Linked DNA regions of Canis lupus familiaris. The protein of the gene in region 3 purifies or fractionates together with the protein of the main gene of each other region. This does not show direct contact. Links are inferred from orthologs where the notes say so. Each region holds a gene or a part of one and is shown on either strand. Other genes may lie near its edges. The genes, in order: RHOBTB1, BTBD1 and COPS6.

Region 1 (3,651 bases), on a different chromosome or scaffold from region 3:
GGGGTGATTTGCAAGTATTGACCTTTACACCTCACTACCACACTGTGGGTTATTATCATGCTTTCCAGATAGGCAGACTGGAGCTCAGAAATGTGGTTGCTTGCCCAAGACCACACAGCTTGGAAGTGGAGGAGTTGGGACTTGAGCCCCACATCCTTCACTGGGCAGCTTCCACTGTGTAGGCAGCTGTAGTCTCAGTGACACGGCGGCGCTGAAACCCGTCTGATGGCACAGGAAAGAATTCGTTAGTTACAGCAGAGAACCTCCTGATTCATAAAGGCTGGTAGACACCAAGAGAGGTCATAGGAATAATTCTAACACTTTTTGCCTCACACAGCAGCCAGCCTTTTGGTGGGGGTTGGTTTAGGAGCAGCTGCAGTTTGTTCTGGAAGCAGGAGGTGGCCTAGTGACCTGCTCTGCCCCAGCCTTCCCTGCTTGTGATTCTGCTTCCCTACTTGGGGATGCAAATGCAGGCTCCTGGGTCACAATGGGAGTGCTCAGATTTCTGGTGTGAGTGCCCCTTTCGAAAAGTTAGCTATTGTTTTCTTTATTTCTTTTAAAAGTGTGGAGAGATGCTGAGATATGCAAAACAAAGCTCTTAGGACAATAAACTTGATGGGGTGTCCCCGTGTTTTTTTAAAAAAAGATGGTTAAAAAATACTTTCGAAACTGAACAAAAATGCTTGCTCTTCTAGACTAAAGTTAGAAGTGCTTGATTGGAATTTATCTTTCTTTTCCAACCGAGTTTGTAAAAAAGATGAACATGTAGGGTCTTCAAGATACTGCTCACTCTGCTCTAAGAATATCCTTCCTCTGGAGACAGGGCCAGTGTCGGAGAAGTGGCTCAGTGGCTTCCACTAGACTTAAGAGAGGAGTGTTCAGAGGAGTGATCATTTGCTCCATCACTGTTTCCTTCCAGGTAACAAACCCTTGGAGGAGGCAAGTCAGGGCAGAGCCTCAGTGGGTGTTATAGCTCAAGGAGACCATCAGCGCGTCCCTGTCCCTGACCGGGCAGGGCAGAGGAGAAGACTGCGGCCAAGGATGTGGCTTCTTAAGGTCGTTGTCTGGGCAGGGGCTCAGCTGAGCCCAGGACTCCCATGATTGAAGAAGCTTCTGGAAGACAGATTCTGCCCCTATTGTATATGATTTTGATAGTATCTCGCTTGGTGACATTTGTTAAAAGGTAGAGCTGATCCTGTTTTACAAATGAAAGCGGTGAGCAACAGTCAACAGCTCCTTGTAACTGCAAAATTAAGAGGCACTTGATGGGATGAGCACGGGGTGATATGCTATATGTTGGCAAATTGAACTCCAATAAAAAAAAAAAAAAGAGGCTAACTGACACTTCAACACTGCCTAAGGAACTCGTTCATGGAAACAGTTGAAGAACTGAAGTCATCTGGTTAATTAAACACACACATGTTCATGAAGATACCACTTAGGCTTTTCAGAAGGCACATACCTCGCTGTTGGCGCTTTCCACAAATGAGCCCCCAAACATGGCAGCCATCCACCTGCAGCTACAGATCAGCAACGGTTTGTGGGCGCTGATGGCTCCATCATCCAACCTAAATGTCACATCTGCCCAAGGATTGAGGAAACAGAACCGTGAGCCAGCTCCGCTGAGTCTGCCTTGTTCATCAACCTACATCTCCTGCTCCTCTCTTCCGTATCTTTCCTTCGTGATTTTGTATCAACCTCCACCTCTGGAACTGCCAATTCCTTCTATGCCATCCAAGGATCAAGGGGTAAACATTTAAAATTGCACCTAAGATCCCAGCACAAATTCTCTGAACCATACAGTAACACAAAGGAAAGGAATATTTTTCTTTCTCCATACTCTGAAAAATTTCAAACACAATAAAAACAGTGGAAGAAATAGTACATTGTTAATATTTTGCCTCATTTGCTTTAGCTTTATGTGTATGTGCGCATTTGTGTGTAGATAGTGAATACGTGTGCATATGTATATATACATGTATATTTGGATATATATATATATTTGTGTAGACATTTTTTAACAGCATTACACTTCAAACTATCAAGTTTTCTAAAAATAAGAGCATTCTTCTAGATAATCATTATCACGTCTAAGAAAATTAGCAATGATTCCCTAATATCATCCAATATCTAGTTCATATTCAAAATTTTCCAGTTATCTCTAAATTGTATTTAGTTTTTTTTTTTTTTTTTTTAAATAGACAATCCACTTGAAGCTCCACACTGTATTTGGTCATTATGCCTTTGCATTAAGGGGACTGTGATTCAATTCATTTCCCTTAAGGTCCATTGTTTAATTTACTGCAGGTTTGTAACACTGCTTTTCATTAGCTTTCAGGATGGCTTCTGTTTCATGATGGTCAACGTTTCAAGTAAATATTATTTATAAGCTTTAAAATTATTGAACAGACTCAGTAACTGATGACTAAATGTATAGTACTAAATGTGTATTATGACAGGCATTATGAAAGATAAGGGATGAAAGAGAAGTGTCCGCATAAGGAAAAGTCAGAAAGTTAAATTTTTACAATGAAACACACACACACACACACGCACACACACACACACACACACACACAAAGGCAATTTCAGAAGTTAGTAAAAGTCTGTAAAGCAATTATGTGAAGATGCTGTGGGCAGTGGACAACATCGTTATCAAGGACAAAGAAGAGGAGAGGAAAATATAGAAGAGCAGGGTAAGGGAGTGTGGGAAAGAAAAGGAGGGGAGGTGGACAGATGAGGCACTCCCGATAGCAGGAGAGTTGCCAAAATCACTTCAAGGATTTCCAGGCCAAAGGGTCAGTGGAGAGAGTAGACTTGGTCAGGGAAAGGACCCTGAAGGGGAATTGTGAGCATCAAGCCAACTGGCTCTGGTGCTGGCTCTGGCTCAGGGGTCGTGTGGCCTAGCTATGAGAAGCACTGGTGCTTTAGAGGGGAGCTTGCCTGCAAATCCTGGCTCTACCGTTTACTACCTATATAACCCGGGGCAAGTTACCTAATCTCTCTGTCCTTCAGTTTCCCCATCTGCAAAATGGAAAAACATCTAGCTCTTAAATCTGATGAGAATTAAATAGGTGGATATGTGCAAGCTAGAGGGGTACATGAAAAAAATAAGGATTTATACATGTTAGTGATGGTTATTCTGTCCCCTACTCGTGTATGGCTAATGTTTGATGAAACAAGACCAAAGGGATCGATGCCTTTACCATTGGACCCACTTACCTGAGAATGTCCCTTTGCTGAGACACTCTTTTATCCGATTGGCCTTCCTGACGTGAAATGCTTTGGTAATCTCCTGGTTCATGAAGGCTTCCTTGTTCATGATGTTTTCCACCATCATCCTCAGATCAAACATCTCTAGAAGCTCTGCAATCTGAGCCAGGCCCACCAAATCCTTCTCCTTCTCATCCAGTTGTCCTGTATAAAGGAACTGGAGCAGGGTCCGAAAAGGGCCTGGCTGGACGGATGAGTCCATTCTGACCACGGTGATGGGGCTCAGCCGCTTGGAGACAGGATTGACTTGCATCTCCTTGTGCATGTCAAGGAACCCCTTGCTCCAGCCTGACAAAGTCTGCATCTCTGGAATTGAGCTCTCAGCTTCCAGCCCCAGACTCTCCTGTTGGGACAGGCTCTGGCTCGAGGACTTCCACT
Region 2 (3,651 bases), on a different chromosome or scaffold from region 3:
AGTTGAATGTTAACCTTATAGCAATTTTTTTAAATAAAACTGCCATTTAATTCTTTTCATTCTTTAATATTTTTAAGTATAGAGTTTTAAGTATCTAGCCTGTTTTTTGTTGAAATTTGAAAACTTAATATAAACTTGTTTGTGTTTTTTGTTAAAGAGCAAAATATTCCTAATTTGATTTATTTTTGTATTTTACTTGTAGACACACTCTGTGCGGTTCTAGAAAGAGACACACTTAGTATTAGAGAAAGTCGACTTTTTGGAGCTGTTGTACGATGGGCAGAAGCAGAATGTCAAAGACAACAATTACCTGTGACTTTTGGAAACAAACAGAAAGTTCTGGGAAAAGCACTGTCCTTGATCCGGTTTCCACTGATGACTATTGAGGAGTTTGCAGCAGGTAAGGCTATAACCTGACCAAAATCTGTGTAAAACAAATAGGCAGTCAGCTAGCCTCCCTGTGCAGGAGGAGAAGCAGCTGGTATTCATTGCGTTCTAGTTACACAATATATGAATGTGGGTATGTGCATGTAATTTCATTTATGTCTCCTGGTAGCCCTTCAGGATAACATTATAGGATATTTATTTCGATATGTGTATTAGGTTCTTTTTGTTGGTTTGTTTGAGTAGAGGCACACACAGGTTACATTAGTTTCAGGTGTACAACATGGTGATTCTGTTCTATAAGGTTATGTGCTCACCACCAGTGTAGCCACCACCTGTCACCATACAAGGCTGTTACAGTATCATTGACTGTATTCCCTGTGCTGTGCCTTTTTATTCCTGTGAATTAACTCATCCCTGGAAGTCTGGACCTCCCACACCCCTTCACCCATTTTGCCTATCCTCCCCTCTGGCAACCACCAGTTTCTGTGTTTGTGGGTCTGATCCTACCTTTTGTTTGTTTATTCTTTTGTTTTTATTTTGTTTTTTTAGATTTCCACACATATGAGTGAACATAGGTTATATTTTTAAAATACCATGTATATTTTGTATAGTTTGTATAACTATACAAAAATCATGTATTTTGGGACATCTGGCTAGTTCAGCAATTGAGTGCCTGCCTTCGGTCCAGGGTGTGATCCTGGAGTCCCAGGATGGAGTCCCACATCAAGCTCCCTGCATGGAGCCTGCTTCTCCCTCTGCCTGTGTCTCTGCCTCTCTCTCTGTGTCTCTCATGAATAAATAAATAAAATCTTTAAAAATCTTTTAGCCATTTTGACAGATGTGAGTGATGTTGAGCATCTTTTCATGTGTCTGTTGGCCATCTGGATGTCATTTTTGGAGAAATGTTCATGTCTTCTGTTTTTGAACGTATATAAAGGAAATTATATGTACAGTATGTGTTCTTTTGTGTATGGCTTTTTTCTCTTAACATGTCTTAGATTCATCCCAGTGGTTGTGTGTGACAGTAGCTCATTCTTTTTCATTGTTGTATAATCTGTTGTATGAATGTGCCATGATTCATTTATGCATTTAACTCTTGCTGAACATCTGGGTTATTTCTGTTTGGGGGCCATTAAGAACATTCTTATACATGTCACTTAGGGTGCATATGTAAACATTTCTGTTGAGTATTATACAAGTGGAATCGTTATGTCATAGAGTGTGCATGTAGTCAACATTAGATCTTACCAAATAGTTACCCAAAGTGATTATATCAGTTCATGCTCAACTGCCAAGTTAAGAGAGTTAAGAGTACATTCTAGTTGTCCCACATCCTCTGCAAAACTTGGTATTGTCAGTTTTTGTAGTTTTAGTCATATAGTAGGATGAGGACATACTTTATTGTGGTTTTAATTTTTTGTGTTTCTGACAATTAATGATGCTGATTGTGCCAATAACTGGATATCCTCCTTCATGAGATAATTTTTCTTTTAAAAAAATTATTATGGAAGTATAGTAGATATACAGTGCTATCCTAGTTTGAGGTGTATGACATAGTGTTTCAACTATTCTGTAAAAGTATAGTCACCATCTATCACCAATTAATGTTGTTATAATATTATTGGGTATATTCTCTATGCCGTTCTTCTCATCTCCATGACTTATTTTATAACTGAAAGTTTGTACTTCTTAATCCCCTCTACCTACTTTGCTCATCCCCCTCAACGACTTCCCCTCTGGCAACAGTTTGTTCTCTGTATTTAAGAGCTTGTTTATTTTGTTTGTTTGTTCATTAGTTTTTTAGTTTCCACATATATATGAAACCATATGGTATATGTCTTTCACTGTTTGACTTCACTTTAACATAATATCCTCTAGCTCTATCCATGTTGTTTCAAATGGCAAGATCTCATTCTTTTTTATGAATAATATTCCATTGTAATGTGTACCACATTTTCTTTATCTTTTTGTGTATTGATGGACACTTGGGTTGCTTCTATATCTTGGCTTTTGATAAAAAGAAAATCTTAATTTTAATGAAGTTACTTTTTTTTATTTTTATTTTTTTTTATTTTATTTATTTTTTTTTTTATTGGTGTTCAATTTACTAACATACAGAATAACACCCAGTGCCCGTCACCCATTCACTCCCACCCCCCGCCCTCCTCCCCTTCTACCACCCCTAGTTCGTTTCCCAGAGTTAGCAGTCTTTATGTTCTGTCTCCCTTTCTGATATTTCCCACCCATTTCTTCTCCCTTCCCTTATTTTCCCTTTCACTATTATTTATATTCCCCAAATGAATGAGAACATATAATGTTTGTCCTTCTCCGACTGACTTACTTCACTCAGCATAATACCCTCCAGTTCCATCCACGTTGAAGCAAATGGTGGGTATTTGTCATTTCTAATAGCTGAGTAATATTCCATTGTATACATAAACCACATCTTCTTTATCCATTCATCTTTCGTTGGACACCGAGGCTCCTTCCACAGTTTGGCTATAGTGGCCATTGCTGCTAGAAACATCGGGGTGCAGGTGTCCCGGCGTTTCATTGCATTTGTATCTTTGGGGTAAATCCCCAACAGTGCAATTGCTGGGTCGTAGGGCAGGTCTATTTTTAACTGTTTGAGGAACCTCCACACAGTTTTCCAGAGTGGCTGCACCAGTTCACATTCCCACCAACAGTGTAAGAGGGTTCCCTTTTCTCCGCATCCTCTCCAACATTTGTTGTTTCCTGCCTTGTTAATTTTCCCCATTCTCACTGGTGTGAGGTAGTATCTCATTGTAGTTTTGATTTGTATTTCCCTGATGGCAAGTGATGCAGAGCATTTTCTCATATGCATGTTGGCCATGTCTATGTCTTCCTCTGTGAGATTTCTGTTCATGTCTTTTGCCCATTTCATGATTGGATTGTTTGTTTCTTTGGTGTTGAGTTTAATAAGTTCTTTATAGATCTTGGAAACTAGCCCTTTATCTGATATGTCATTTGCAAATATCTTCTCCCATTCTGTAGGTTGTCTTTGAGTTTTGTTGACTGTATCCTTTGCTGTGCAAAAGCTTCTTATCTTGATGAAGTCCCAATAGTTCATTTTTGCTTTTGTTTCTTTTGCCTTCGTGGATGTATCTTGCAAGAAGTTACTATGGCCGAGTTCAAAAAGGGTGTTGCCTGTGTTCTTCTCTAGGATTTTGATGGAATCTTGTCTCACATTTAGATCTTTCATCCATTTTGAGTTTATCTTTGTGTATGGTGAAAGAGAGTGGT
Region 3 (3,751 bases):
GTGTGCTATGGCGGGCTGAACAGTGGCCCCCAAATACAGCCAGGTCCCAATCCTTGGAACCTGTGAATGTTACTTTACAGGGAAAAAGAGATTTTGCAGATCTGATTGAAGTATGAATCTTCGGATGGGGAGATTATCGTGGATTTATGATTAAGGATCTTCAGATGGGGAGATTATCCTGGGTTATCCCAGTGGGCACTGTATATAATGCCAGGTGTCTTTATAAGAAAGAAGCAAGGAGGGGTTTTATCGCACAAGGCGATGTGACTACAGAAACAGAGGGACAAAGAAAAAGATTTGAAGATGCTGCTAAAACACTGGAACTGAAGGAAACTGGAACACATTTCCTGGTACCTGCTGGTTGCGGGCACTGGAGTGGGCTCTGCAGGCTCAAGGCACAGGTCTTCACCTGCTTTCTGAGAGCTTTCACTTTGGATGTGGCACAGGCATACACTGAAAGAACCAGCTAGACAAATGGGTAGGGGAGCAAGGGGGAGTAAACGCAGTGCACAGCGACGTGCTTGGGCGTAGGAGTGGGGAGGGGTCGGAGTGGGCTGGGTTTGTCCCAAGCGAGTTTTGAAAGGCTGCTGGAGATGGAGGATAGAGGGAGGCCGGGAAGGGCTGGAGTGCTGGGCACGTTCCTAGTATGTAGGTAATACGGTATTTGCAAGGAGGAAAGGACACGCCGGTGAACCATTCGCGACCAGGTTTCACCTCAGATTATCCACTCAGTGAAATACCTATTTAGGTCCTTGGCTGTCGGGTTGGACGCGGCAGAGGCCCGCACGTGGGCGTGGGGCATACGAAGGGAACTGCCAGGGGAGCCGGCGCGGCTGAAGCACGAGGACCGAGGGCCGGGTGGCAGGCAGGGTCCTGACCCTGCGGGGCCTTGCACGCCATGGCCCGGGCGCGGATCTTGTTCTGAGGGCAATAACGTGGTTCTTCATTAATTCTGCAACAGTCTTAGGAACTGGGCCGTTTTATCCCAGTTTTACTGACGAGGACGGTAAGGCTGGGAGCGCGCAGGGTGAAGTAATTTGTCCCAGATCTGTCACCGCCGCAAGCGCGTGGCGGACCCGGTCTTCCGAAGTCCACCCGCTCCGGGGCCGCCCGCCCCACCCGCCGAGGCCCCGCGCCCACTGAGCATGCGCCGCTGGCCTACGGAAGCCGACGGGGAGGGGGCGGGGCCGAGGCTGGCGGGCGCGGGGAAAATGGCGGCGGCGGCGAACGGGACTGGAGGGAGCAGCGGGATGGAGGTGGATGCGGCAGGTAACGGGCCTCGCGGAGGCGGCCTCTGGTGACGCCCCCCGGGGAGCGACAAGGCCCCCCTGGACTCCCGGGAGGAGTCAGCAGTCGGGACGGCGATCCCGCCCCCTGGACTAACTTGCGGGAGGGATGTATGGCTCCGGCTCTGCCGTCTCCCGCTCGCAGCTCCGGGGCAGAACGTGCGGCCCCGACGCTCACTCGTCCTCCTTTTCCTCCACCCTCAGTAGTCCCCAGCGTGATGGCCTCCGGCGTGACGGGGAGCGTCTCCGTCGCTCTTCATCCCCTCGTCATTCTCAACATTTCAGACCATTGGATTCGCATGCGCTCCCAGGAGGGGCGGCCTATGCAGGGTGCGTGCTGGGCGTCAATCTCCAACCTCCTCTCCTTGGTCACCTGCCCCAAGTAGGGGTCTTTGCCCCCGCCCTTCCTGAGGCCAGTCCCCCCTCCCCAGGTCACCGTGTCTCCAGCATTGCGTTCCCACTGACCTCGACCCAGGGACCGGATTCTTAACCCTCCTGTTTTCCGTGTCGCTCTCTCCCCCAGTGATTGGGGCGCTGATCGGGAAGCAGGAGGGCAGAAATATCGAGGTGATGAACTCCTTTGAGCTGCTGTCCCACACCGTGGAGGAGAAGATTATCATTGACAAGGAGTATTACTACACCAAGGAGGAGCAGTGTGAGAGGGGGATAGACTCGGGGGTGAGGAGTGGGAGTGAGAAACAAAGGCAGAGTGGGGAAGATGGAGAGTGATGGGGAAAAATAGGAGAATGGGACAAGAACTGTGTTTGTGTGAGGAGAGTATCACAAAGGATCTCAGAAAAGGAACAGTTTAGGTACCCACCCCCCAGACAGTAATAGATGAGAGAAGATAGAAGGGACTAATTATTGAGAACTGAGCCAGGAGTTGAGCGGGGAGGGGAGAAGCTGATGAAAAATATACCAGGAGTTTCCAATGAAGGGAGGGTGATTTAAAGAATGATACCCTGTGCTCTTTCCCCTGCAGTCAAACAGGTGTTCAAGGAGCTGGAGTTTTTGGGTTGGTATACCACCGGGGGGCCGCCTGACCCCTCTGACATCCACGTCCACAAGCAGGTACACATGCATGCTGGTGCATGCTGGGGCAGGGCTTGAGCAGGGGAGGAAAGATGGGCATTGACACCCACATCCCCATTCCCTTCCAGGTGTGCGAGATCATCGAGAGCCCTCTCTTTCTTAAGTTGAATCCTATGACCAAGCACACAGATGTGAGTAATACTGACCCCATGCCCACTTAGGCACGGTGCTGGACAAGCATGACAATCTTACCCTCCTCCCCTGCTGTGCTTTACATCTCTGTTGGGCTGAATCTTCACTTGAGGTGAATTCTCCGCTCAGCAGCTGTGTGACTTTAGGTTAATCATTTAATCTCAGAACTGCTTTTTGCCCTATGTATAAGGTGGGGGTTAGCCTTACTTCAGTGGGCCCTTGGGAAGATTGGGAAAATCTGCAGAAGAGCCAGTACGGTAGCCCAGGTGCACTTGATGTAAGAGCTGTCTCCCGTTGCTTTACAGCTTCCCGTCAGTGTTTTTGAGTCTGTCATCGATATAATCAATGGAGAGGTAATGCCCTGCCTTTCAACCCCGCGGTCCTGCTCCTTGGCCTTTCCTGCTCCTGACTCTGCTTTTGTGCCCTGTAGGCCACGATGCTGTTTGCGGAACTGACCTACACTCTGGCCACAGAGGAAGCTGAACGCATTGGCGTCGACCACGTGGCCCGAATGACAGCCACAGGCAGCGGCGAGAACTCCACAGGTAAGGAAGACTGGAGGTGTTTCCTCAGCAGTGGGGGGTGGAAAGCGTGGCCAGGTGCGTTTTCAACCTTGGCCTCTCCCTGTCTCCCCCCAGTGGCCGAACACCTGATAGCACAACACAGTGCCATTAAGATGCTGCACAGCCGGGTCAAGCTCATCTTGGAATATGTCAAGGCCTCTGAAGCGGGTAGGACAGGCGTCTCCCTGGCACGCCTACCACTTTTTCTCACTCCTGAGGGTGACCTCATCCACATTAATGCAGTCCTTCTGTGCCTTTAGGAGAGGTTCCCTTTAACCATGAGATCCTGCGGGAGGCCTATGCTCTGTGTCACTGCCTCCCTGTGCTCAGTACAGACAAGTTCAAGACAGACTTTTACGATGTGAGTCTAAAACCCAGGCTGGGGACGTGGGGTTTGTACATCATGTCTGCACGCAGGACCCGGGACTCAGACATTCCCTGGGCAACTGGTTTTCTGTTCCTTCCAGCAATGCAATGACGTGGGGCTCATGGCCTACCTTGGCACCATTACCAAAACCTGCAACACCATGAACCAGTTTGTGAACAAGTTCAACGTCCTCTATGACCGACAAGGCATCGGCAGGCGGATGCGGGGGCTCTTCTTCTGAGAGGGTACTTGAAGGGACGATGCACAGGTTGGACAGTGGTCCCACAGGGGAGGGGCATCACACTCCCTTT

What was found.
Region 1: the proteins of COPS6 (region 3) and RHOBTB1 purify together in Homo sapiens (affinity purification with mass spectrometry; 4 studies listed by BioGRID and IntAct, counting the BioPlex papers as one, with this or other methods). This does not show direct contact. The link is inferred for Canis lupus familiaris from reciprocal best matches to the Homo sapiens genes COPS6 and RHOBTB1.
Region 2: the proteins of COPS6 (region 3) and BTBD1 purify together in Homo sapiens (affinity purification with mass spectrometry; 3 studies listed by BioGRID and IntAct, counting the BioPlex papers as one, with this or other methods). This does not show direct contact. The link is inferred for Canis lupus familiaris from reciprocal best matches to the Homo sapiens genes COPS6 and BTBD1.

The regions. Positions count from the first base shown.
Region 1 is NC_049225.1:13,657,137-13,660,787, forward strand, and holds part of RHOBTB1 (rho-related BTB domain-containing protein 1), read right to left. Parts: coding exon 3,223-3,651; intron 1,894-3,222; exon of another isoform or gene 1,582-1,893; coding exon 1,463-1,581; exon of another isoform or gene 920-1,462; intron 1-919.
Region 2 is NC_049224.1:55,298,746-55,302,396, reverse strand, and holds part of BTBD1 (BTB/POZ domain-containing protein 1), read left to right. Parts: intron 1-202; coding exon 203-400; intron 401-3,651.
Region 3 is NC_049227.1:9,447,003-9,450,753, reverse strand, and holds the start of COPS6 (COP9 signalosome complex subunit 6), read left to right. Parts: upstream 1-1,120; 5' UTR 1,121-1,145; coding exon 1,146-1,269; intron 1,270-1,490; coding exon 1,491-1,616; intron 1,617-1,809; coding exon 1,810-1,941; intron 1,942-2,268; coding exon 2,269-2,357; intron 2,358-2,446; coding exon 2,447-2,509; intron 2,510-2,815; coding exon 2,816-2,863; intron 2,864-2,940; coding exon 2,941-3,055; intron 3,056-3,148; coding exon 3,149-3,241; intron 3,242-3,333; coding exon 3,334-3,434; intron 3,435-3,540; coding exon 3,541-3,681; 3' UTR 3,682-3,751. UniProt on the Homo sapiens protein: Component of the COP9 signalosome complex (CSN), a complex involved in various cellular and developmental processes.